Arabidopsis thaliana: one gene and its partners. The protein of the gene in region 3 interacts with the protein of the main gene of each other region in a pairwise test. Each region holds a gene or a part of one and is shown on either strand. Other genes may lie near its edges. The genes, in order: MYB73, RAP2.12 and AUR2.

What was found.
Region 1: the proteins of AUR2 (region 3) and MYB73 interact in binary tests that used the Arabidopsis thaliana proteins (3 or more experiments, as listed by UniProt).
Region 2: the proteins of AUR2 (region 3) and RAP2.12 interact in binary tests that used the Arabidopsis thaliana proteins (3 or more experiments, as listed by UniProt).

Annotation. Positions count from the first base shown.
Region 1 is NC_003075.7:17,536,393-17,543,921, reverse strand, and holds MYB73 (myb domain protein 73), read right to left. Parts: upstream 3,433-7,529; 5' UTR 3,321-3,432; coding exon 2,358-3,320; 3' UTR 2,123-2,357; downstream 1-2,122. Other genes in the region: HMA1 (heavy metal atpase 1), read left to right, coding at 1-35, 454-559, 712-876, 1,024-1,240, 1,325-1,512, 1,596-1,682, 1,771-1,935. UniProt on the Arabidopsis thaliana protein: Transcription factor that functions in salt stress response. Acts as a negative regulator of NHX7/SOS1 and CBL4/SOS3 induction in response to salt stress. In response to auxin, activates the transcription of the auxin-responsive gene IAA19.
Region 2 is NC_003070.9:20,130,586-20,138,733, reverse strand, and holds RAP2.12 (uncharacterized protein), read right to left. Parts: upstream 3,891-8,148; 5' UTR 3,493-3,890; coding exon 3,198-3,492; intron 2,935-3,197; coding exon 2,153-2,934; 3' UTR 1,721-2,152; downstream 1-1,720. Other genes in the region: GLIP5 (GDSL-motif lipase 5), read right to left, coding at 1-13, 495-619, 709-1,009; AT1G53903 (linoleate 9S-lipoxygenase-4 protein, putative (DUF581)), read right to left, coding at 5,892-6,084, 6,184-6,371; AT1G53900 (Eukaryotic translation initiation factor 2B (eIF-2B) family protein), read right to left, coding at 7,900-8,106. UniProt on the Arabidopsis thaliana protein: Transcription factor involved in the activation of hypoxic gene expression and in ethylene response. Partially redundant with RAP2-2. Acts as a downstream regulator in the ethylene signaling pathway.
Region 3 is NC_003071.7:11,032,508-11,042,291, forward strand, and holds AUR2 (ataurora2), read right to left. Parts: upstream 5,685-9,784; 5' UTR 5,378-5,684; coding exon of another isoform or gene 4,853-5,377; 5' UTR 4,706-4,852; intron 4,619-4,705; 5' UTR 4,504-4,618; coding exon 4,291-4,503; intron 3,846-4,290; coding exon 3,738-3,845; intron 3,648-3,737; coding exon 3,501-3,647; intron 3,405-3,500; coding exon 3,309-3,404; intron 3,228-3,308; coding exon 3,132-3,227; intron 3,040-3,131; coding exon 2,943-3,039; intron 2,855-2,942; coding exon 2,737-2,854; intron 2,642-2,736; coding exon 2,569-2,641; intron 2,482-2,568; coding exon 2,380-2,481; 3' UTR 2,145-2,379; downstream 1-2,144. Other genes in the region: AT2G25870 (haloacid dehalogenase-like hydrolase family protein), read left to right, coding at 79-147, 232-332, 480-572, 653-724, 983-1,102, 1,188-1,238, 1,327-1,515, 1,628-1,795; AT2G25890 (Oleosin family protein), read left to right, coding at 4,853-5,377; ATCTH (Zinc finger C-x8-C-x5-C-x3-H type family protein), read left to right, coding at 9,310-9,784. UniProt on the Arabidopsis thaliana protein: Phosphorylates specifically 'Ser-10' of histone H3 in vitro. Associates with cytoskeletal structures that are necessary for cytokinesis and with the microtubule spindle.

The DNA of each region.
Region 1 (7,529 bases), on a different chromosome or scaffold from region 3:
GCCATGGAGAAGGGCACCACGCATCCTATTGGAAGGTATTGCTTGTTTAGCATCAATTACTAGTATAAAACTTAATTACCACAAACTCTAAAACCATGCAAGTTGTGACCTATGTGCATCCCATCATCACATAGTTAGTACTGTGGCGCGTCTATAACTCATGGGAAATAAGTTATCTTGTTGGATGGTACATTCATTTCAGGAGATATGTTGACGTAAAGAATTTTAGTCCTACATCTAGAACTTATTCTTATTTCTAGTTCATTACCACAATCGGATGAAAGGAAGGGGAAAAAGCAAATTTGAACGCTATGAAGCTCTCTATCTCTGGTTTTTACACTGGTTTTTACACTGGTTTATTAGTTTAAATGATGCTTGGTCTGGTAAGAGATTGAGACTGAAGAGTACTATAGGTCTTTTCTGCTGTTTCTGACACATTTCATCTTGCTGCAGAGCTGTTGTAGATCACAGTGTGGGTAAGGATCTTCCTTCTATTTTTGTTGAAAGCTTCGAATATTTTCCTGGTAGAGGCCTTACTGCTACTGTCAACGGTGTTAAGGTGAGACTCAGTTATTTACTAGATTCTTATATATATCCATTTATCTACCAGATTTTATAGTGTATAGCTGTGGGTGATGTGTGTACATCTCTGGCTTTCATTCTTAATATATATGATGTTGTCTCTCACCACATTTTTTGGTTTTGTAATAGACAGTAGCTGAAGAGAGTAGATTACGAAAAGCATCACTTGGTTCTATAGAGTTCATTACCTCACTTTTCAAATCTGAAGATGAATCTAAACAGATCAAGGATGCTGTAAACGCGTCTTCGTACGGAAAGGACTTCGTTCATGCTGCTCTTTCTGTTGATCAAAAGGTATACTACGACTACTTCTTTAGCTGGTCTAAAAACCTCTTTCCTACTTCACAGTCTGTGATTTTCATCTCTCATCTGACCATTTATTAGTCCATAAAAACCTCTGTAACACTGAAATTTATGAGCCTTGCAACTAAATTTTGTCAGGTAACATTGATTCACCTCGAAGATCAGCCTCGTCCAGGGGTGTCAGGAGTTATAGCAGAACTTAAAAGCTGGGCCAGACTCCGAGTAATGATGTTAACTGGGGACCATGATTCAAGTGCTTGGAGAGTTGCAAACGCAGTGGGTATTACCGAAGTCTACTGCAACCTAAAGCCAGAGGATAAGTTAAATCATGTAAAGAACATTGCTCGGGAAGCAGGTGATCATTCATTACTCTCGCCATAGTTCCCAATCAAAAACATCTATCAAGAGACTGAGAATTTAGAGTTGTGATTTTTGCTAGGTGGAGGTTTAATTATGGTAGGAGAAGGGATTAATGATGCTCCAGCTCTAGCAGCTGCAACAGTGGGGATTGTTCTTGCTCAACGAGCGAGTGCCACTGCGATTGCCGTTGCTGACATCTTACTGCTTCGAGACAACATCACCGGTGTTCCGTTCTGTGTCGCTAAATCCCGCCAGACAACATCATTGGTAGATAAAACATAAAAGTCTTTGTTCTTAACCAGTTTCAGATGTTAGATTGCCTGATTTAACAAGAATGTATCATGTTGCAGGTCAAGCAAAACGTAGCTCTTGCATTAACATCGATATTCTTGGCCGCTCTTCCTTCAGTTTTAGGGTTTGTCCCATTGTGGTTGACGGTACGTAAGCTAATACCCACTACAAGCTTTTGTTATCCATCATTTACCCGAGAGACAAAACCGCTAACCTGCATTTTTGTGATCATAGGTACTTCTACATGAAGGCGGGACTCTTCTGGTGTGTCTAAACTCAGTACGTGGTCTAAACGATCCATCATGGTCGTGGAAACAAGACATAGTTCATCTAATCAACAAGTTACGCTCACAAGAACCAACCAGTAGCAGCAGCAACAGTTTAAGCTCTGCACATTAGGGGGTAACTTGCTGTTCTTTGTCTAATTCTGCAAAAGCAAGACACTGTGAATTGTATGATCGCTTATGAAACATCAAAATCGTATATATGTTTCGTTTCGACTGGTTTCTTCAGGTCATATATTATGTCACGTGAGATTATATTTACTACTTTTAGTTTATGTTTGTTTCCTCGTAACAAACCCATAGAATAAAAGTTTGAGAAGTGTTTTTGACTTTTCTTCTTCAAGTTTGTGTAAATTGTTAATAAATGATCTTGCTTTGCTTTTAATTGAATCACGAAAGAAGATCATATGATGATGATAACAAAACATTTTTTGATTTCGCTTCCTCCTTTCGTCGTCTCTACTACTGGCTCTATACATGAAAAGCCTGAAACTTTTATTTTCCCGAGAAACAGAGGGAAAACTTGTTCTTATCACTCTACTCCATCTTCCCAATTCCGATTTGGTTCACTATAAACTCTCTAAACCCAACACGACGGCTGTTTACACTTTGTGGCATACACGAACCGCCACCTCCGCCGCCAGAACTACTACCACCGACGTTTCCTCGCTGTAAATCCGCCATGTAACTCCTCACCTCCGTCCTTATCATCTCCTGAACCACCGTCATGAACTCACCACCGAATCCACCAGATATCCCCTTCGCTTCTTCTTCTTCTACTTCCACTTGCTCTTCCTTTCTAACCGGAAACAGCTCCGCCGTATAACCACCGTCCATAACCGTATTCTGGTTAAGTTGAACCGGCTCGTTGACTCGAACCGTCTCGTCAGTCCAAGGAAGAGACAAACTAAGATAAGTTGGAGGATCTTCACCAGACGATGACGCTGTAACCTCAGATCTAACCGTTGGTTTAAACACGTGTGCACCACCACTAGATTGCTCGCTGACGTCAGATCCCGATGGACTTCCGGGACTCATATACAAGCCAGTCGAGACACCACCACCACCACTCGCCGTACGTTTCAACGGTTGCTCTTCTCCTAAATTACCATCATACCCTCCATTACCACCAAAATCACAACTTTGCCCTTCGACGCTGCATTTTCGCTTCAGCGTCGAGTTCCAATGATTCTTGATAGCGTTATCGGTTCGTCCATTGAGAAGACGAGAGATCGTAGCCCACTTGTTACCAAACCGAGCGTGAGCTCGAATAATCGTCTCGTCTTCTTCCTGCGAAAAAGCACGGTGCTCTACCTCCGGAGATAGCTGGTTACACCACCGGAGACGACAAGATTTGCCGGAACGTCCAGGGATTGATTTGCTAATCAAAGACCAGTTCCTCGGACCATGTTTCTGAACAAGCCTCTGCAACAGATCATCTTCTTCTGGACTCCATGGACCTTTAATCCTCTCCATATTCTTACGGGTCGGGTTTGACATCGCCGGATCTTTTTATCGGATTGTTCTTTTTTTTTCTTCTAACGCGTCCTCTTTTTTTTTGGTCGTTACAGTTTTTTTTTTTGTGTGTGTTGGGAAGAAAAGCTTTTTGGTTGAAGAGGATAAGAGCAAGAAGAGAGAGTATTTATACGAGAAAGGAGTGGGCAAAAGGGTCACCGGTTCAACCGGTAATTTTTTCTTATCGATTTAACAGAAACGATATTAAACTAGTTAAACTTTACAGTGTAATATTATCCTTAACTGCATAAAAATATCTAACGTATTATTAAAAACAAATTTTATAGAAGGAAACAAATAAAACCGTTTTCTCTATTAATAAAGAGATTTGCTCAGTGTTAAACGGATAACTATGGTAGTTCAAACAATAAAAAATAAAAACTGATAATTATGGTCGTTACTCGTTAAACAATTTTGACTCATTCAGTCAAAAAAATATTGGTGAATTTAATTAATTTAAACGTATGATTAACCATTGTTTATATGTTCATAATTATGTGTCCATAAATGGGCTACGTACAAACCTCGTTAACGTTTGGGTATAAAAAAATTGACAACATTTACGTGTTTGTATGATTGGAACAGATATTTATTTTAAACCAAAAATAAAACACGTTGGCGATTGGAAAAGGCGTTTTGGGAGATAAGCGTTTGTGTGAGGTTAACATCGAGCGTGGAGAGCAGAGAATCTTCCAGGAAAAACGGTTGGGGACTTGGGATACAGCTGTATATTAACACGTGTCAAGTAAGTATATGTACTTTGAGTTTGAGATTTGCTTTTTTTTTTTCAATTGTTCTTTCTTTTTTTTGAGAGATTTGTTTTCTTTTGAAGAGAGAGTACGCTCGTACACAGGAGCGTTTCTTCCACTCTCTGTTTTACAGGTGGAGCGTTTTTACCCAATCATTTCATTTTCCATCTAAAGTGACACTCACAAAAAAAAATCGTTAACTTCTACGTTTTATTCTCTCTATATTTATATCCTTTTTAAAATCATTCTCTTTTTGAATATTTGTTAACTTTTTCGTATGTTTTTTGAAGTTTTATTTTGTAAAATTTTGATACTATTGTAGAAGAAAATGAAATCAAGAATGGCAATGTATATCAAAAAAAATATTAAAGGCAAAATTTTGTAAAAACTAAGAATCTGCTGGAAACATACATATTGCTTTTAAAAATAGTAAGTGCAACAAAAAGACTACATAGAAGTCAATAAAAAATAGCCGAAAGTTTTTGTGTTATGAACTAAAGTTTTTTGATAAGTTATTTTCAATATTTTACACTGTTTGTTACATGTCATTGTCTTCTGTGTGTTGATTGATACGTGTGGTTATTATATAAACGAACGATTGGTCCAATATCCAAATTTTGGTTAAGATGTAAATTGTGTCGGTGAAAATAATGTAGACATTGTAGTCGTTGACAGCGAGTTCTAGGCTTCTAGCTTACATGCAACAAGTGAATGTAATAGTTTTGCAATGTTTGGTCATTGAATTTCTAACAAATATGTACGTGTAAGATACTAGATTAAATATGAATGTTGCAAGTAATAGATCGTTTATATTTGTCAAGTGATAAATTGTCGTATAGAAGAACAACTAAACCGAAGAATTACTAATCCGGTTCAACTTAGTTAACCAGAAATTGAAAGGGTAAACGCCGGTGAAGCGCGTGTAGGATGATGATATATATACAGTGAAGCAAACTTTTCAGGATATATATGTAACTTTTATTTATGTTCTTTGTAAAACAAAAGTGTGTGTAATTGGCAGAAAGAGAGAACAAAACCTAACAAACTGAAATACAACAAATATCTAGATATTCATAAATATCTAAAACCAAGTTCCACTTCATGCAACTTTGCATATATACACACGAAGTTCATAGATTAATTACACAAAATAATGAAAATGAATAACTTAAATACCCTCCAAATTTTGTTTTCATATAGTTTATAAAAAAACTAAACCCTAATGCTCAAAACAATTTATATCTTATGCATTAAAATTAGGGATGTAAACAATAATTGAAGATTATTGTAAAAGAATGTATGATATAATTAAAAATGAAAATTGAAAATACAACAAATATCTAAACCAAGTTCACTTCATATGACTTTGCATATACACATGAGATTCATAGATTATTTACACCAAGATAATGAAAAATGAACAATTTCAGTACCCTCCAAATTTTGTTTTCGTTTAGTTTATATAAAAACTCAACCCTTTGCGCAAAACAGTTGATATCGTATGCACTAAAACATATTAAACTTATGAAGGTAAACCAACAATAATTGAAGTAATATGGTAAAAGAATGTATGATATAATAGAAAAATGAAAAAAGAGCACCAACAAAAAGAAATAAGGAAAACAAGAAGAAGAAGATAAGGATGAAGTTAACGGTTAGGTATGAGGTTTTGGTTCGATTCGGTGACTTTTTGACTGAGGAAGCCAGCCTGTATACCATTATTAGTATTTTTTTTATTTATTTGAAAAATTGTTATCATTATTATGTTTTGGATATTTTGCCGATCTCAAAAATGAAATACTCTAAAAAGCAAAGAAGAAAAAAAGCAAAACAAAAAGAAAAAGATAGGCCAAAAAGAGACAGTTGCTCACGTGGCGCAAAACGACAAGGATAGATCGGAAGGCTGATCGTTACCACTTTAATTTTCTGATATTATAAAAAAAACAAAAACAGGCTGTAAATCTCTGCCTCCCTTTAACGGCCACTCTCCCACCTGCCGGTCACCCACCCACCCTTTTTTATATATTCTTCACTAATTAGTAATTTACCATTCTTAACTCCTTTATAACTTGTGTTTGGAAAACTAAAAATACTTTGGTTTAGTGTTTAGTTAAGAAATTTAGAATTTTTATCATTTGTAAAAAACACAAATTTGACTTTTGACTTTTTTATTTTTTTGAGTTATACACTTAGCTTTTTGAAGGAAATTAAAGAGAACAAAAATATATTTTGGTGTTTTTCAAAATATGTGAGAAAATAAAACTTAAATATTGGAGGGTCGTATTGTCTGAGTGGAATAAATCGTAGTCAACTATATGTATGTTTTTAAGTAAGCGAAGAATTGTATTCGAATAATATATTAAATGCATTGTCCTTATTTTTGTTTCTATTAATGGATTATGTAACCAACCAACGGTTCAGAAGTCATTTTTAACCATAAATTCATTTTTTTATGTTGTGGTCAATTTGATATGCATTCACACATATATCATCAACTACCAACGTTAGAAAAACCGTAGATACTAGTACTAAAACACTCCCATAGAATTCATTTAGCTAAAGAAGCTTCTTCGTTCATGAATGCATATCTATGCGTAAACCACTTATGAATTAGGCCATTAGGTTATGATGATTTCGAGCCTAATGATTTATGTAAATATGGACGCAGCAGTTACTTTACGACCGCTGTGAGTGAATATATATAAATTTCTACTAAAATGTAGATTTTAAAAACTATTAAAACTGGGATCTGTCAAGTGTACGGCACCGGTAAACAACTAATCCAGCCGTGTACTGCAGAGCACGAGGCACATGCTCCGATGCTAAGGGAAGTTTCTTGCGACCTTCCTACTCTTTGTCACTCGACTTAAACTAATTAGTTTATATGCTTTGAGCATTGAAAAGTATTATTAAGTATCCCTGAGAAAAGGGAAAAATAAAAGGATAAGATTCGGTCAGATTTTGTTTTTTATCTTAGTGTTAAACCAAATTGTATATTAGCCGATATAATTTCATAGAGTGAACGAAGGGAGGCAGATGGACAAAACTGTGTAATTAATGGAGATACGGTAAGAGATCTTCCGTTTTAGGTACATCGTACCTATTACCTAATTTATTCTCTAATTTTTATTGGTTTTTGTTGTTTAATTCTACTAATCAATTCGTTGAAAAACTACTAATTTTAATCGTTACTAATGGGAATGGAGTTAAGTTTTAATCTCGTCCAACCAACCCAATTCATTTTCTGGATTATAATAACCGACTTTTGTGAGGGTTGTAGTTGATAACTGAAAGCAATTCTTGTCGATTTTATATGTATTGTGAATAGTAAGTTATAAAAAAAAGGTTAACGCTGATAGATGTTAAAAATTAACTGCATTTTCAAAAAAGAGGTCATTGGCATATATAGTGGTAAGAAACTGATGGTTTTAGTTTGTGGGTTTGG
Region 2 (8,148 bases), on a different chromosome or scaffold from region 3:
TCAAATTTATAACCTTACAATTATTAGGAATTGGTTACCACGTTGAACAACATAGAATAATATATCTGACCTAACCTTAAATTTAAAAATCTAATTGTCCTAAATAAGTAAGTGGGTACTACATATTTTGCAATTTAATAAAATTGAAAAGGAATTCTACTATCTTTATAAATAAATAAAGCATGTAAAAGGATACAACAAATCGTAGGTGGGACCAAAAAACTACATTTTAAAGAAGATTGTTCAATTAATTTAGCCACAATAATCGGGTCAAAACTCAAAACCCACTTCCATATGCAATCATTTAATCAACAATTTAGGTATAGAAAAGTTAACTACATTCAATCAAACTCATGGATCAATTAAGCAAACGAAAGTTACGAAACTCAATCAAATGATATATCTATTTTAAGATACATTATAATGCAAAACTATTACTAAAAAAATCCCACAGAAATTAAAATAAAATAAAGTAAAAGATAAAAAAAACGTACCGAACCTTGGAACGTTTCCACAAGAGCACCAGCACCAGCAGACGCAAAGTTGACGCCGTAAAGCTTCTTTTGACTATTTCCCGGTTCCAAAAACGGCGGAATTAACGGCAAATTCGCATATTCCGCTATCATTAACGTACATTTCCGTCAATATTATATCTTTAAATAAGACCACGAGCTAATATATGAATAATAAGAAATATAATCTTCTCACCAATGAAATCAGAGATGAGACGACCGTCGGAGAATCTTCCGGTGGGGAGGCCAAAGAATGTTTGACCATAAGGTGGAAAATTGGCTTGGTCAAGTGTAGTGGTGTTAATGTAATTATTGTTTCCTGCATCCAAGAAAGAGTCTCCAAAGAGGAACAAGGCCGTCACATTATTGTCACCGTTATGAGAAATTTTGGCCGAGGATTTTCCGGCGAGAAAAAGAATGGTAGAAGAGACGATAAAGAAGATGAAGGAGGAGATAGTTCTCCTTGTGACTTTCTCCATTAAAGTTGACTCTCTCATTCACCACAAAATTCTAAAGACTCGTGATGTGTGTGTTATATAGACCAAATCATTTGCTTTTTAAATCTAACTTATAGACATGTCGACAAGACTATGTATTTATTTATGATATAAAATGTGTGTCCACACTTATATACAAAGACTTTTGAAAAGAAGTCAAATGGTTTGATTAGTAATATTAATGCAAGTATCACCATAAGATAATTTCATTTCTTCACAATAATAGGAGAAACCAAATGTTATGTCAAACTTGTCATCACACAACTCAAAGCACCTTGACACTTACATTTTGGGCTACATTTTGACAGTAATACGGTAACTAACAACAATTTATATGAAAAATCAGTAGATTAAATTACCAAATACATATAAATATGTTTCAGTAAAAAATAAAGAATGTGTGCTAATGCTTAGATATTTATACAGAGTGAAAATGACCTAAAGAAGCAGAACTGTCCAGAAGAGTTAATTTACTCTCTTTTATTTTCTGTTATCATAAGGAAACGGTCACGAGAAAGACACAAACTCACCAGTTACCACTTGCAAAAAGAGAGTTCAACCTTTAGAGATTCTTCTGTCGTTTAACGTCGTCGTTTCAACGTTTGTTCCCTCTAGATTCATTGTACCACAAAATAACAAAAGTGGCGCACTTCTCTAGGCAATCACTTTGATGATCAGTTGATCACCGCTTTTTTTCTGATCACAAATTTACGAGAACCGGTTTGGTTCAAACTTAGCTTGTGACTTCTTTGTTATGTTCAACAGTTCTCACATACTCTTAGTAGCATACAAAGAAGATTTATTTGATTAAACAGATGAGAGGTTCAAACACATTATGACAAATGTTAAAGGAGTTTTGGGGCATAAAGTAACAAAAACAAAACACAAACGAATTCAAAAGATTCACTAAAACAAAAACTACCACAACCCCTAAAAATAAGCCTCTACTTAACTTCATCACAACTACCCTCAAGATAGAGGCTCATGGCTTCTCGCAATGCAAACAGGAACTCCTGAGAGAGACAGACAGAGACAGCAGAAGAAGATGCAAGTAACAGACATTAGAAAGTTTTGGAGGTTGATAAACGAACGATGCGGGAAACTCACAAACATGCAGCCTTATTTACATGAAACTGGATCTCTTCAGAAGACTCCTCCAATCATGGAATGAATTTCATCAATACTCCATAGGTCCATAGGGTTTGCACCATTGTCCTGAGTCGTTACAGCATCTTCGTTGAGGAAATCCAGTGAAGCGTCCCATTCAGTGTTGTTGTAAGGTGTCTCGAAATCCATAGACTTGAGCTTCTTAGCTGGATTGGCTTCCTCAAAGAACAGAGCTGAGTTGTTGTTGTTGATAACCGCAGAAGAGATGTCGGGAGTTATCGGAGCTTGATCGCTCCAACCAAACTCCGAACAATCGAAAGAATTACTACCCTGGTCAGAGCTGAAATACTGATACCCATTACATCCAGCATCAACGGAGTTTGTCATCCCAAACTGGTTGTTGTTGTTGTTGCTCACTTGGTGTTTCTCCTCCATGAAACACATATTTTCAAAGGAGATGTTCGAGTTCTGAACCAAAGCTGGACTTGGGTTAGGGTTAGGTTTAGCCACTGGTTTCTGAAGATTAGCCTTCACAGAGCGTTTCTGAGAATTAGCCTTCATGTTTTCTTCAGGGAAATTCACCTTAGCTTTAGATCCACGGATTCTCCGCGCTGCAGCATCGTAAGCTCTAGCAGCTTCCTCAGCTGTCTTGAACGTTCCAAGCCAGATTCTAGCACCTTCCCTTGGATCACGTATCTCAGCAGCCCATTTTCCCCAAGGACGTTGCCTAATCCCTCGGTACTGATTCTTCCTCTTCCTATTTGCAGATTTCTCAGCGTCCCCATCCAAGCCAGTAACTTTCTTACCAAAAACTGAACCTAGTAGTGAAACAACAACAAAACAAAAGAGTTCTTCTATAAATAACTCATCAACAATCTCTAATCAAATCTCATCACACAAATCAAGTCTCATCACTCAACCTCATATGCATATAAATATCACACAAATCAAACCTCATGCTTTATACAACAATCAAAATCGTAAGCAGATAAAGGTATCTATGAACAGAGCTAAATAGAATCGAAACTTAATTTCTAACCAATTCAATCGCTCAAACTAAAGTCAATCCCTAAATATTTACCTTCCGCAGCGGCGGAGACGGCGGGTTTTGGAGTCGAAGTGAAAACGAATGGTTTCACATCGGCGAAAACATCACCGACGTCGAAATCATCATCGCAATCGATAGACGAATCATCTTTGAAACCTTGGAAATCAGCTTCGAACTCAGCGTCAAAATCGAAGAAATTCGAACGATTCTTCGAGCTTTTCTTCGATCCTTTCAAATTCTTCTTCAGATCCGGCCAAATAAACTCGCTAGTAACACGGCGAGACCTCGGCGGTGGAATGAAATCGGATATTATAGCTCCTCCACACATGGCGGCGATTCTTGAGGGTGTAAATGTTCGAAAACAGAATCTTAGCGGCGAAAATGGAAACTAATTGATACTTTTGGGGGTTATATCTTTGCTTCTTCTTCTCTCTTCAACGCTTTGCTTTGTTGTTTTCTTCAGAAAGAGATTTTAGAGTAAAATAAAAGATGAAGCGAGTACGATGGTTGTTTACTATTATACCCTTATCTTGATGTACTATTTACGGTACTACCAGACTTTTATATTCATTTACTGTAGATCTATATTGTAAATTAGGATTTTATTAGTTTATTAATAGTTAGTTGCAGTAAATAAGATTAAAAATTTAGTCAGAGTTGTCTGCTGGTAGACAAAAATAGTCTAAACAAATTTTTACCTAACGTCAATTGATTTTTTCATAAAGTCTATTTCCCTTAGATCTAGTATCTATTAATGTGATTAGGCATTAAAAACACAACTAAATACTTTTGCAATGTTGTTTGCATTCAGGAGTAGCCAACGCAGAACAGATATTTAACATTTAAATTTAAATAATATTATAAATGAATTATGAAAATGTTTTAACATAGGCACAAAATAAATGAATTATTGAAAATATAATGAAAAACTATACAACAACTTTTGAATGTAATTTTGATTAGGAGAGAGGACCATTAAGACCTTATGCTGTTATGCATAAGGCTAAAATTGTAAAAGCATAGAAACACATTTATGAATCTGCGTGTGCAGGACACGTACGATATTATTGAAGCTTTTTGAGCAAGTTGATAGGATTTGGTTTTTATGACAAAGCTTTTGTCGTTTCGTGACAAACAAAAAAGTTATTAAAAATAATCCGAAAAATATATTTGTCCTTTTGTTTGATAACTAGCATTCCAAATCAATTACTAGTTTTCTTAAACTCAATTTAAAATTTCCTTGTAATTCTGTTTACTCTTAACTAACTTTATTAGGTCCAAATTATCAGGCATCGTAAATTACGGAATATTCAGTAGGTATGTGTTATGTGTATGTGTACGTGGAAACCATATTTTGTTGTTTTATGGTGAAATATATTTTATGGTTGCAACTTTCTAAATTATGTATAAACAACTATTGGAAATTCAGTTAAAAGAAAATTTTATTTTATAAAATTCAACTTCATACGTGTATAGTTATACTACATATAATATATATATATATATATATATATATATATATTAGTGCAATCATGTACTATATATTTATATATTAAGATCAAATTGTGAACGCAAAGAAAGACAGATGAATAAAATAGGTAGGGTCCAAATCATTTTACAGGATTGAGACAAGTTCCTAAATTAGCTTATCTCAAAGAAACAGATAATGATGTCAATATGTCATTCATGGAGCAATTATTTGTTTCACTATTTTAACTTTTAATAATTGACTATACTCGTTTCGGAACTGTACATTAGTACAATTTCTTTGTGTTTATAGATATAAACCTTATGTTTTGTTTTTCTAACCAAATTTATAAGAAGCAAAACAAATTCCAGTAGTTGATTTTTTGTTCACTAACTGGAATTCTTAAATCTGAACATAACTTCTCATTAATTGGAATCATTGGATGGATACAAAGTGAAATCATTTTACACAAGGCAAGTTGTCTTTTTGGGCCGAATCGCTAAGATAGTGGGCTTCATAGGTCGAGTTATAGGCACTTGCATTTAGTTTAATTGATTGGCCTTTTAATTGGGCCGAGACCACGAACCTGCTTAGTTACTCGTGACAGTGTGACACTATAAAACAATAAATTAGTTGGGGAATTGGGTTGAACAAAGTGATCACTTGACAAGTAAAACAATAATTCCAATTGTTTAAAATACAGTATTTTGGCCTGTACATATTCAACACGTGACTAAATGAGTTGTTCATATCTTCTCAACCAAAGAGTGTCTATGTCCCTGTCACATACATTTAAAATATCTCCCATACATAAAAAAAAAAGAAGCAAATCGAATAATTTATTTATCAGAGAGATTTTCTTCTTTAAAATAATTCTTTATCCAGTTCATATCCATCATGTCACGATCCAATCTGAATATTAAAATGTTCTTCGAATTAATCAGATTTAGTTATGAAATATGAGTCATATCTCATATGACACTTTGTATCATTTAATTATCTCACTAATTAACGTGTGACTACAAGTAATCTTTATTTTTGGTCAACAGCTACAATTAACCTAACTAATTAATGAGCATTTTTACTAAATCAGTAATTAAACCACCTGAGAATGAGATCACCACATAAACTGTCCAATTAACATTTAAGATTTTGAAAAATGACAACCGGAGATACAATTTAATTCTCTTTCTTTTACTAATAACTTTCATAAGATGTGTAACCAAAAAAACTATAATTAGATATTGCTTAAAGAAGCCTCAAGGAACTATAAATAATTGACGTCGTCGCCGGAGATCATCAAACAAATTCCGAGACTCGCTTTTTCCGGCGCCGTTATTACATCGTCTGTACGAAGCCAACATCATCTTCGTCGAAGCCTCTAGTTCTTTTCTATCATCAATCAACATCTGACTTTCTCTGCACTCTCTACTACAAAATCCCAAATCTCCTCTGTTTTCAACAAAAAAAAAAAATTGAGAATCAAGAACAGAACATCTTTCGTTTACAAAGAGTATATAATATAGTAATAAAAAAAAAAAAATATCGTACCTGTACATGTAAACATCTTTGTCTTGATGGAGTTGTTTATTGCAGAGATGACATGTTTTAAGGAAACAAAGCTCCGAGATGTTTGGATTGGATCGGTTTAGTCTCAGTGAAGATTTGATCACTATATTGTTTAGTTTTTCCCTCGAATCTCTTGTCACAAGTTGCAATCCAACAGAGATTTTAGTCATTCTCTCTATCTTTAGGAATTGGAAATCTGAGTGGAGAGAAATGTGAGAAGGGAGAGAGAGAGAGAGATGAAGTGGAAGCAGAAGCCGAATGGTTTTTGGGAATATATAAAAGTAGATATTTTACTGTATTGAGTGATGTGTCTTTTATGTCTCAATTAAAATGTGGAATTTGACTTTTTCGACATTGGCCAATTTCTTGTCGGGAATTACTACTTTTGCTATTCATCAGAAAATAACCCTAAGACCTAAACTCATACATTCAATGGAATGATTGGGAAAAGGAAAAAAAAACTCGAATTCAATATGTTATAGTTGTTGTTAAATGAACAAATGTAAAATGCTAAAAAAAAGTTTGTTGTAAAGTAATCTATTTATATTTTTAGTTTATACATAATCACTTTTCTAAAACGTGAAACTTAATCAAATGTTATAGACTAATGATATAAAAAAGAATTAAAATGTGGTGTGGACAGATATATTTGCCATCTTTAATGTCTTTACAAATATATTTTTAATTTCATTTATTGTGTTAGTATATTAGATGTTCCGAAATAATTTTATCTTTTTTCACCTTCCCGAATACAGTATACTTTTGTAAACAGTTGAGCACGAAGATAACAAAAAAAACGTGTATATGGGTAATTCCAGGAAAGAACGTAATATTTTTAAAAAAAACGTGGGATTGTAAGTGGCCGGTGTTTTATGAATCTTACAACGTTAGCAGTTAGATCCAAACATTAGCTATAGGCCTATAGCCTATAATAATATTCCATCTGTTTTACAATATAAATTGTTTTAAATAAAAACACGCAAATTAAAAATATTTACTTTTAAAAAATTCTACTAATCACAAAAGAGACTACATAACATAAATAATCATAAAATATTAAAATAATATATAATTTGTATAGAAACTTGAAAACAACTTATATAGTAAAACAAAAAAATTGTTCCAAAACAACTTATATTATGAAACAGAGGGAGTAGTTACTTAGACCAAGCATTAAAATAATACTAAGAATTTACCATCTTTAATTCTATCACGTTTCTCATGCTCTCATTTTCAAAACATCAAATCATATGATATTCCATGTTACATTATAGGTCATTTATCACTACACTGCAATAATTGCAACTTTTCAATATCCAGCGCATACCATACCATTTTTTTTTTTGTGCAAACATTTTAAAGTGTTAAAAGGATATATATACTTTTGCAAAAAAACACAAATGATTCTAACAATAATAAAACAATATAGCAATACATATCTCTAATCAAGAAATCAAAAACCAGAAATGATCATACTATAATATATACTAGTAACTATATATTGAAACTTGGGTGATAAATTTTGAGTAAAGATGACAAGTCACAAAGATCTCGCTACTACCAAAAAAAATGTGCATTAGCAGTAAGAATCAGAGACAAACTATGTCTGTGTATAGCCAAAAATATGGTGTTTTTGTTTTTATTTTTATACAAAAAATGAGAGATTTCAGACCAGCTATAGGAATTAGACAGCTTCACTTACAAGTAAAGCTGAATAAGCTCGTCACTTACTACAGATGGAGTGAGAACACCAAGATCAGTGAAGAGTAGAGTCAAGTACTGAGGAGGAGTGTAGTCCCTTGCAGATCTTTCTACCTCAACCTTAGGAGGAACAGGAACACTGAAATCAATAGGTCGCAAGGCTGGTTCTAAGTCCTTTTGATCCAACGGGTAGAGCCGTGCAAACTTCGCTTGCAAGAAAACAAGAAAGAAGATGATGGATCATTG
Region 3 (9,784 bases):
ACTGTGTAACGATCATTTACACTCCCCCTATTATCTTCTTGTTCTTGCTAAGATAAACTTACAGACTACTGTTATTAGACAGGAAGGAAGGGGATGGCCTAAGATTGTACAAACCAAAGTTCTCCTATATATTCTGTGATATGGATGGTAAGGTTACTTATTTAATAATGTGTAGTTGTTTGTTTCGGTTTTCTTCGCTTTCTCATGGGATTTTGATGTGAACTCTATTAGGTACACTGCTTAACAGTAAAAGTCAGATTTCGGAGGCAAATGCAAAAGCTTTAAAAGAAGCCCTTCTGAGGGGACTTAAAGTAGTCATAGCTACGGGGAAGGTGAGAAGACAGCAGTTTTACAATGACTTCATGTTTGGACTATTCTTTGATCTGTCCAACAATATCTTTCCTTATTTTTTAATATTTGCTTGTCTTTGAAATGTTTTGGAGATAGGATATGTTCCTAAATTTATTTATTTATCACAGTCCCGCCCAGGTGCGATCAGAATCTTGAAGACGGCTGATCTAACTGGATCCGATGGCATTATCTCAGAGTCCTCTCCAGGCGTTTTCGTTCAGGTTTACTTGCTCTAACATCAGGGAACTAGTGAGGTGCACCAATATCAATGTAGTCTCACTAAATATCTGTTTAATTACAGGGATTACTTGTCTATGGTAGACAAGGGAAAGAAGTGTATCGAGGAAACTTAGACCGAGATGTCTGCAGAGAGGTAAGTCCACTTAGGATTTAGACTACAACGACTCACAGAATTAATTCTCACATCCTCGGCTTAGTTCACAAACCATGCATTAGAATTCTGGAACCCAGTCTCTTTGCATCATGTAATTCTCTACCATGTTAAGCAGCAAAAAGCTACCTAAGTACCTATGATAGTGCTCAACTTATTATCCCTGTGTATCGTGATTGAATAACTGAGTTCTAGGAATCCTATCTTATACTTACTAAAATGTTGATTTGTTATATACAGACCTGTCTTTATTCTTTGGAGCATCGAATTCCTCTCATTGCATTCAGCCAGGATCGCTGCTTGACATTGTTTGACCACCCTCTTGTCGACTCTCTTCACACAATCTACAATGAGCCAAAGGTAGGTTAATGAAACTGCACGCTCTCTCCCCATCTAGTTATGATTTTTGACAGCTTCTTGCTAATCTCTCCATGATTTTTAACAGGCCGAAATTATATCATCGGTTGATCAACTGATAGCTGAAGCTGACATTCAGGTAATTCCCGGAGTCAGAACTTATATCTTACTTTCTTACATATGTATAAGCCAAAGTACTGATGTTTGGTTCTCTTGTGTATCCGAAGAAAGTGATATTTATGGACACAACCGAGGGAGTCTCATCTGTTATCCGTCCGTATTGGTCAGAAGCTACAGGAGACCGTGCTAATGTTGTTCAAGCTCAATCAGACATGCTAGAAATCGTCCCACCCGGAACCTCCAAAGGGAATGGTGTAAAAATGCTACTCAATCATTTGGGCGTTTCACCGGATGAGGTAATAATCTAGCATCTTTTGACGGCGTTGTAAAGAAACTCAAGTAGGCATAAGTATAGAAGTCAAACAAAAAATAAGATAGTTGATGAAGCAACCCGGATTTTCTTATCAGATAATGGCGATTGGAGATGGAGAAAATGACATAGAGATGCTGCAACTGGCCTCGTTGGGAGTTGCTCTGAGCAACGGTGCAGAAAAAACAAAGGCGGTGGCTGATGTGATTGGTGTGAGCAACGACCAAGATGGTGTTGCTGATGCCATCTACCGCTACGCATTCTGAGACTCCACCACCATATTTAAGTACAAGATACACCAAATTAAATTTTTGAGGTTAAGTAGGCATTATTCTTCTTCTTTGTCTTACAGATAAAAGACAAACATTGGTCATTCTTGTCTCATTCACCCACCTTTTGAAGGAAAATGATTGATTGCAGAGTGCGTCTCTTGTTGTTTTGTTCATGTTCGGTTAATCTTTCATTCGTTTGCCTTTGCACCTTTGCATCTTACAACATAAAAAATGTTCCGGATCTCTTGTGAACAAATCCATCTCATTTGGTTACCTGCAGTAACATCAGTTAACGTTAACCAATCAATTGGTGAATAAGTTACCGATGAACAAAAGCTGTTGTAAGTTTGAAACCATTCCGAACAATTTTTATTTAAAAAGTGATGTAGGATTCGAAAATAATTGGAGTAAAGTTACACGAATCTTGTGGCTATATAAACTTCGTAGAAAAATGTAGTACAAATACTTTTGGAACACAGCAATTACATATATAGAACTATGAAATGGTCAGACTTTTTGCAGTAAGTGGTGCAAAGTGCCAAGAATGCAATCTTAAATCTTTTCCTAGCTTCATCGCTTCATCCTCTGTAAAGGCCTGATGGGTCTGCGTTTTGCACAATCCACGGGTGTTCAAGAAGCTTGTGCAAGGCCAAACGTTGCGTAGACTCCTTAACCAACATCTGTTTGATCAGAAAGTGTGAAAATCAGAATTCACTCTTCAAATGCACAAACACTTAGAGAGATTTACGAGGAATGCGAGTAGAAACCTGGCTAATCAGGTCCTTTGCAGATGATGACACAATGGGTTTGGGAGGGAACTTGAGATCCACTTGAACAATCCTGTATCATTTGTCGAACAAAACCCTTCTTTAATGTACATTCCACTGACCAAACATCATATACTAATCCCATTCTACGCTTAATGAACATGTTACCTTTTGTATGTCTCTGAATGCTCCCTGGCCTCAAAAGGAGGAACACCATAAAGAAATTCGTAGCAGAGAATTCCTAGACTCCATATATCGACACTCGCATCATGTTCAACGCTTTCCACTGTGAATCCAAAAGCAGAAAAGTCAATTAGCTGGTTGCCGAAGAAAGTAATTTAGAATCACACAAGAGAGAGAGAGCTTTCTCTTACCCATCTCAGGTGGAAGGTAATCCAAAGTGCCACACATAGTCCTTCTACGGTTGAATGTGTGTACTGACCATCCAAAATCTGCAATCTTGAGCTCACCCTGAAAACATATATCCATGAATACATAAACACATAAGCTAACTGCAATCACATGGCGTTGATGGAGAAAGATAACCAGATTCAATTTGTTACCTGAGCACCAATCAACAGATTTTCAGGTTTTATATCTCTGTGAATTACATGCTTTCCATGGCAATAGATGAGGGCTCTAGCCAATGACGCAACATACTGCCACAATAAACGTAAGGGTATGACTACACAGATTCACATTAACATGCTAGAATAAGTTCAATTATCACTAGGACTTACAGTTGCTGCTCGACGTTCGCTGAAGTACTTGCACTTCTGAAGCTCTTTATAAAGCTCACCCCTTACAGCATACTCCAAAATCAAATAAACTCTTTTCTGCAACAACGGTATCCCAAAAACTATGTTAACCTCACAGAGCCAAACATTGTATGTCAACAAGAAGTTCTTTTACAAGCACAGATAACACAAAACCTGATCATAGAAGTAACCGTAGAGCCGCAGAATATTGGGATGCCGAAGATGAGATTGAATCTCTACTTCCCTTCGTAACTGGTGTTCAACTTGAGATTGTTGAAGCTGAGCCTTAAAAAGAACCTTTAAAGCCACAATGTGATCGCTCTGTTTGCAAAGACACATAGAAGACAGCTTGGTTAAAAAAGACATCAAATTAATTCTGCTTGTTTAACATAATTGTGAAGAAACACTAACCCGTTTCTCTCTTGCTAGATAAACATGGCCAAACTTTCCTCTACCAAGTGGCTTTCCGATATCGAAATCGCTTGTAGTCCATCTCTTTTGTGCAGCCTCTGAAGCCGCCTGATACAACATTATCACAAAGATTGAAATCCAATCAACTCTCAGATACACTTAATCATAAACGACAAACAATCATTGATACTTTAAAACTTGAAGATAAAAGGATAAAATCAACAGCTCCTTAACACTAATCCACGGATTTGTCAATTAATCTAGGGTCCTCGCTGTAAACGAATAAATCCACAATCATATCATGAAATTTCTCAAAATCATACCAACAAGTCTTTCTCAAATTAAACAGAGAACATTGAAACAAGATTCTTTCTGGCGCAAAGAAAATCAAGCAACCAAATCGATAATCCCAGATCACATTCCATTAGAACAGACCAAACGCAGAGAAAAAACGCAAACCAACAAGGAAGTAAAACCCTAAATTGAAACAAATTCGACAAAAGAACCAAATGAAATTGGAATTTGTGAAACCAAGAACAAGTTATTTTCTTACAATTTGCTGCGTCTCTGTAGAAATCCCCATGGAAGAGATCGTTGATGAGCCAAGATAGCGAGAGAAAGAGAAGAAAGAAAGAGAGAAGAGAGAGTAATTTTCACAAAGGGAACAGATCCAAATTGAGAAATTTAAAAAGGGGAAAAAACGTAAACCACCAGCAAAGCAGCAACGGTCGAATCCAGATGCTGCCACGTGTTGATACATCTGCATCGAGGTTTTTATTTTCAAATAATTTGTCTCCCGAGATGATACAGTCGCTACAGGCCCAGATATTATTAAGCCCACGGTATTCCAACTTCATAATCACTAGGATAATATACAGTCACTACAAGCCCAGATAATAGCCCAATAAGCTTCAAGATCGTTTGACGATGAGATTTTAATTCGGAACTAAGTAACCACGTGTCAGTACCTCGTCAAAGTAGCTCCATGCAGAACTGACACGCCCGCGTGACACTCTTCTCCATTGCCTAACACGCCTCGTCGTTCGACACATGTCTCGTTTAAGTTTAGCCTCTCCTTCATACTAGTCTATTTTCATTCTTCATAATAATCACAAATGGTAAGCTTATTAAAGCTACAAAAACAACATAGAACATTAAATCCATACTCTCTTAGAAAAAGAAAAAAAGAAATGGCGGATCATCAACAACATCAGCAACAACAACAACCAATAATGAGGAGTCTCCATGAATCATCACCATCGACTCGGCAGATAGTGAGATTCGTAACGGCAGCTACGATCGGCCTATCACTCCTCGTGCTCTCAGGACTAACACTAACCGGAACGGTGATCGGTTTGATCGTAGCGACGCCGTTGATGGTTCTGTTCAGCCCGGTGTTGGTACCGGCAGTGATAACGATAGGGCTTTTGACGATGGGATTCCTATTCTCCGGTGGTTGTGGGGTGGCAGCAGCTACGGCGTTAACGTGGATTTATAAGTACGTTACCGGAAAACACCCGATGGGAGCGGATAAGGTGGATTACGCGAGGATGAGGATAGCGGAGAAAGCCAAAGAGTTGGGACATTATACGCACTCGCAGCCACAACAAACACACCAAACCACAACAACTACTCATTAGAGTTTAATAATTATATGGATCTATATGTTGTATTAAGTTTTATGATTATCCTACGTATGTTTTTTTAATACTGTTCTTACCTTTTTGAAAAGATCTATCTAAAATTTTATTTTCTATTTTCCATACAATTTTTTGTGTGTTTAATTGCTGATCGGTATTTTCTGTTTTATGATTGTGAAATAGCTAGTGTAAGGAAAGATGATAACGAATTAAGTAAATTAATAAATGCCAATTACTTGGTCACCGTCTGGCTTCTAGAATTATATGGTGGCTTTCTTGGTATATGTAAATGTAGTTTTGAGTGTGGTCCGTTTGATTTGAAATAATATTGTTGTTTTTATGTTCAAAAAGAAAATTGCAAGGTTTGTGAATTTTGTGTATCAATACCAAGGCTTGAACCACTTTATCTATACTCGCTAAATAAATTTCGAAGGCTGCGCTAAATGGCTCGTGTCATTTACGTTGTCTTCATGAACGTATTGTAGTTAGTGTGATTGTAAAAATATTTCTTTGTTTAATCATTCCTCAAAAATTGTATTCGGCCTTTGAGAGATGCGGTGAGGTCGTATGCATGTTTTCCCAAATTTCGAATACTTGCAAACTGTTCTATGAATGTGGTTTTTAGGTACTCATGAAATAATTGAAAACTTTACTTGTCTATATGTTCGTAAACCATTGGCATTGAATTGCATGGCATGGCTTACTATGCGCGCACCAACAAAATGCACATGCATGCTTCACGAACGTATAAAGAAGCTGAGGGTGGACAACATTCACTGCTTGTAGTGGGCAATGCAGTCTTGTAGAGCAGTTGTACTTTCAAACGAGGTTCTTTGTCAACGTCTGATTGGTTTTCTAGAATAATTGAAGGAGTACTTTTGTCCTTATCCTCGCAATGGACTGAGTAAGTTTCCTCCGCGGTTCCCTACTGGCCATGAGCTATGAATTTTTCAAGTGGTGGGTGCCAGGTGCCGGGTGGGTGCGGCGTTAGGATTATTCCTAAAGTTGAGGATCGATATACGGTTAAGTTTTTTTGTTATGGAGTGGTGTTTCGTAGTTTGTCATTGCATCAGTTTGATAATCTCTTTCTTCTAGCACCAGATTGTTTAGATAAATGTTAGGATATATGTGGAAGCAAAGGAATGATGTGGTTCACAACCAAGTCTCGATCCCAATATCAACTATCTTCAAGCTCATCGACAAAGAGATTCAGAACGTAAGCACCGCAAGACGTAAATGCAAGCGTTATTGCAACCTAATGCAAACTCTGGTTAATTTTAACTCCCACTATGTAATGTGACTTCTACATCATTTGTCTCTTTGTTTAATTTTTTGGCCAAAGATTCAAATCCATTGATATTCAGAGACAATAGTCTATATGGATTTATTAGATATAGTCTATATGGACTTATTAGATGATATTAACATTCATAGAGAAAACAACAAATTAGGATACGTTTTCTTTCTAATGAGAAAGTGAATGTACGAATGGTTGTTGGGAGGCTATTGTGTCTCGTAGATATTTTAAATAATTTGAATGTTTACTAATATAGAATGTGTATTCAATTATAACTATTTAAATTATTTTATTGTTGGTTTAGACGCATTCTTAAACTTTCACATCATTCTCTCGTGACTATTATAATAGTTATCGTGCTCGATCAATCATCTCGTGACTATTATAATTTTATCAATAGTTTATGCATAAGAGAACTGATAACGATCATACTTCTTTTTGTCATTATGATAGCTTATGATTAATCATTGTTTATCCATACTTGACGCTTGTAAGTGAAACATATGTTTAAATTTTCAGGCTTAATTTAATAGCCACGAACCAAAAATTATCTTATAATAAAAGTTTGGTGCGATTTAAGAAGATTTGTCCCCAAAGCCCTATCTGAAAGAGGTCAAATTGGATTATTAAATTCAACATATTAATCAATTTGATATTTGTTTAATGGTCTGATTAGTGACAATTATAAGTCTAATATTGCGAATCTTTTGCAGTGAGTATTCCACGTGATATAGATAAGTTTCCCTTAATGGATAACCTTTGCATCAAACAATTAGAAAACAAATGGAAGAGTATCAATCAAGTAGATCTCGAAGCAGTGGACCCTAACACGATACTGGAACATGGACCAAACCTTAAAATATCGTCCAAATTGCTTATTTTCTGGAAGGTTACAAGTGCACAACACTCTAATAATATATGCCCCGCATAACAATTTTTAAAACTATTTCATCTTAGACCTCGGATATTTTGAAGGAAGCACATTTTCTTGAAAATCACTAGGTGACTTGTGTTTCTTTCTTTGGAGCATGTCAATTTACTCCCATCAGCTGGAGAGCCAAAAGTTAAAATTAATGTTCGAAATTTATTTCATAAAAGCTACGTACGTTGCATCCTTCCATGATCTAGAAAAAATGGGGGACAATAACCAAATTTATTCACTCTTGTCAGGTCATGGGGAGTAGTCTACGACCTTGAAAGTCACGTGACAAGTAATATATACTGTACCGTCCAAATATTTTCTTACTGTAATGTCTTATGTTTCATATCGCTAGACCCTTAATATTAGTGTGGACTAATTCATATAATTGCAAATAAAATAGTATGATTCTACGATTCTTCAAAATGATCTAATAGTTACAGTCTGGTCAAAATGATCTAAATCTTTATAAACAAATAACAGCTACGGAATAATTAACACAATTTTTGGTGATAAACTTTGAGTTATGATAGAAATTTTTTTTTTTTCAATTTTTAATGTGTATCTTAATTTCTTCAATTAATGTATCCCTATGTTTTATGTGACTATATAACTTTTGGTTAGTGATACTCCAAAAATGTTGTTTTAGGTTTTGACACACATATTAATAATTTGTTTTATTTTTTACTTTACAAAATTTCTTATTGGTTAAAACATAAATCACTGCAAATAAAACTTTAATTTTGTTTGTAGTCAAAATTAGCTTTTAAAAATGTAAATTGATATTTATTCTAATTATTTTTTTAATGTTCTGACAATTAATTTAAAACGGAAAGCGTAATAAAGTAGATGTTGGGGCTGATTGGTAACGGCTGTTACTTTTGAACTCTAAATATTTCGGATGTTACGACTTTGACTGTAAAAATTTTGGTTGTAAAAATTTTGACGATAGAAACTTTAACTGTTAAAGTCTGATTGGTACAAAAAAATCACAATTATTTTTATTATTATTTAATATTTTTTATAAATATTATTTATGCTAAAAAATCAATTTATTTGGTAAAATAGTAACTAAAATAAATTTATTTTAAAAAAATACAAAATTCATTTTACAAATTCACTATTTTAAATATTTAAATTGGATCTGAAAAGAACAGAAAAAATAAAATTCGAATTAATCAATCGATTTTTTAATGATAAAATATAAATAAATTTGAAAAGAGTTTTGAAATTTTATGGATAAAGAAAAAATATTTTTATTTTGTTTTATTATTCTCTTTTAAAGTTAAAGACTTTAGGAAAAAAACAAAAGAAAAAAAGTAAATGGAGAGAAAAAAGCTTTTAAAACTTTAAAAATTAATAAAGTTTTAAAAGTGTGATTGATTAAAAAATAAATTTGAAAATTTTTAAATATTTTTAAAGCTTTGAAAACATTTTTTTTTTTTTTGGGGGGACAAATATGAAGAAAAAAAAAAAAAAAAAAAGACGAACATGAAGGGGAAAAAAACAAAAGACGAACAAAAATTGGAGATTTTTTCTTACACGTGTCATCATCTGCAGATTTGCGCTTATTAATTGTTTACCGTACGGTATTGTGGATAGGGTCAAGATTTTCATAACTTTACCGTAGTTAATATTTGACCCAACCATGGTTAAAATAAAGCAGTTTATATCACAGACACACACCTCTCTCTCTTCTAGACTCACTAAACAAAAATGATGATCGGCGAAAATAAAAACCGGCCACATCCAACGATCCATATCCCTCAATGGGATCAAATCAACGATCCAACGGCCACAATCTCTTCACCATTCTCTTCCGTCAACCTTAACAGCGTTAACGACTACCCACACTCTCCGTCACCGTATCTCGACTCCTTCGCTTCTCTCTTCCGTTACCTCCCGTCAAACGAGTTAACAAACGATTCAGACTCATCAAGTGGCGACGAGTCATCACCACTCACCGACTCATTCTCCTCCGACGAGTTTCGCATCTACGAGTTCAAAATCCGGCGATGCGCTCGAGGTCGATCTCATGATTGGACGGAGTGTCCGTTCGCACATCCCGGAGAAAAAGCTCGACGACGTGATCCGAGAAAGTTTCATTACTCCGGCACCGCTTGTCCTGAGTTTCGTAAAGGAAGTTGTAGAAGAGGTGATTCGTGTGAGTTCTCTCATGGAGTTTTCGAGT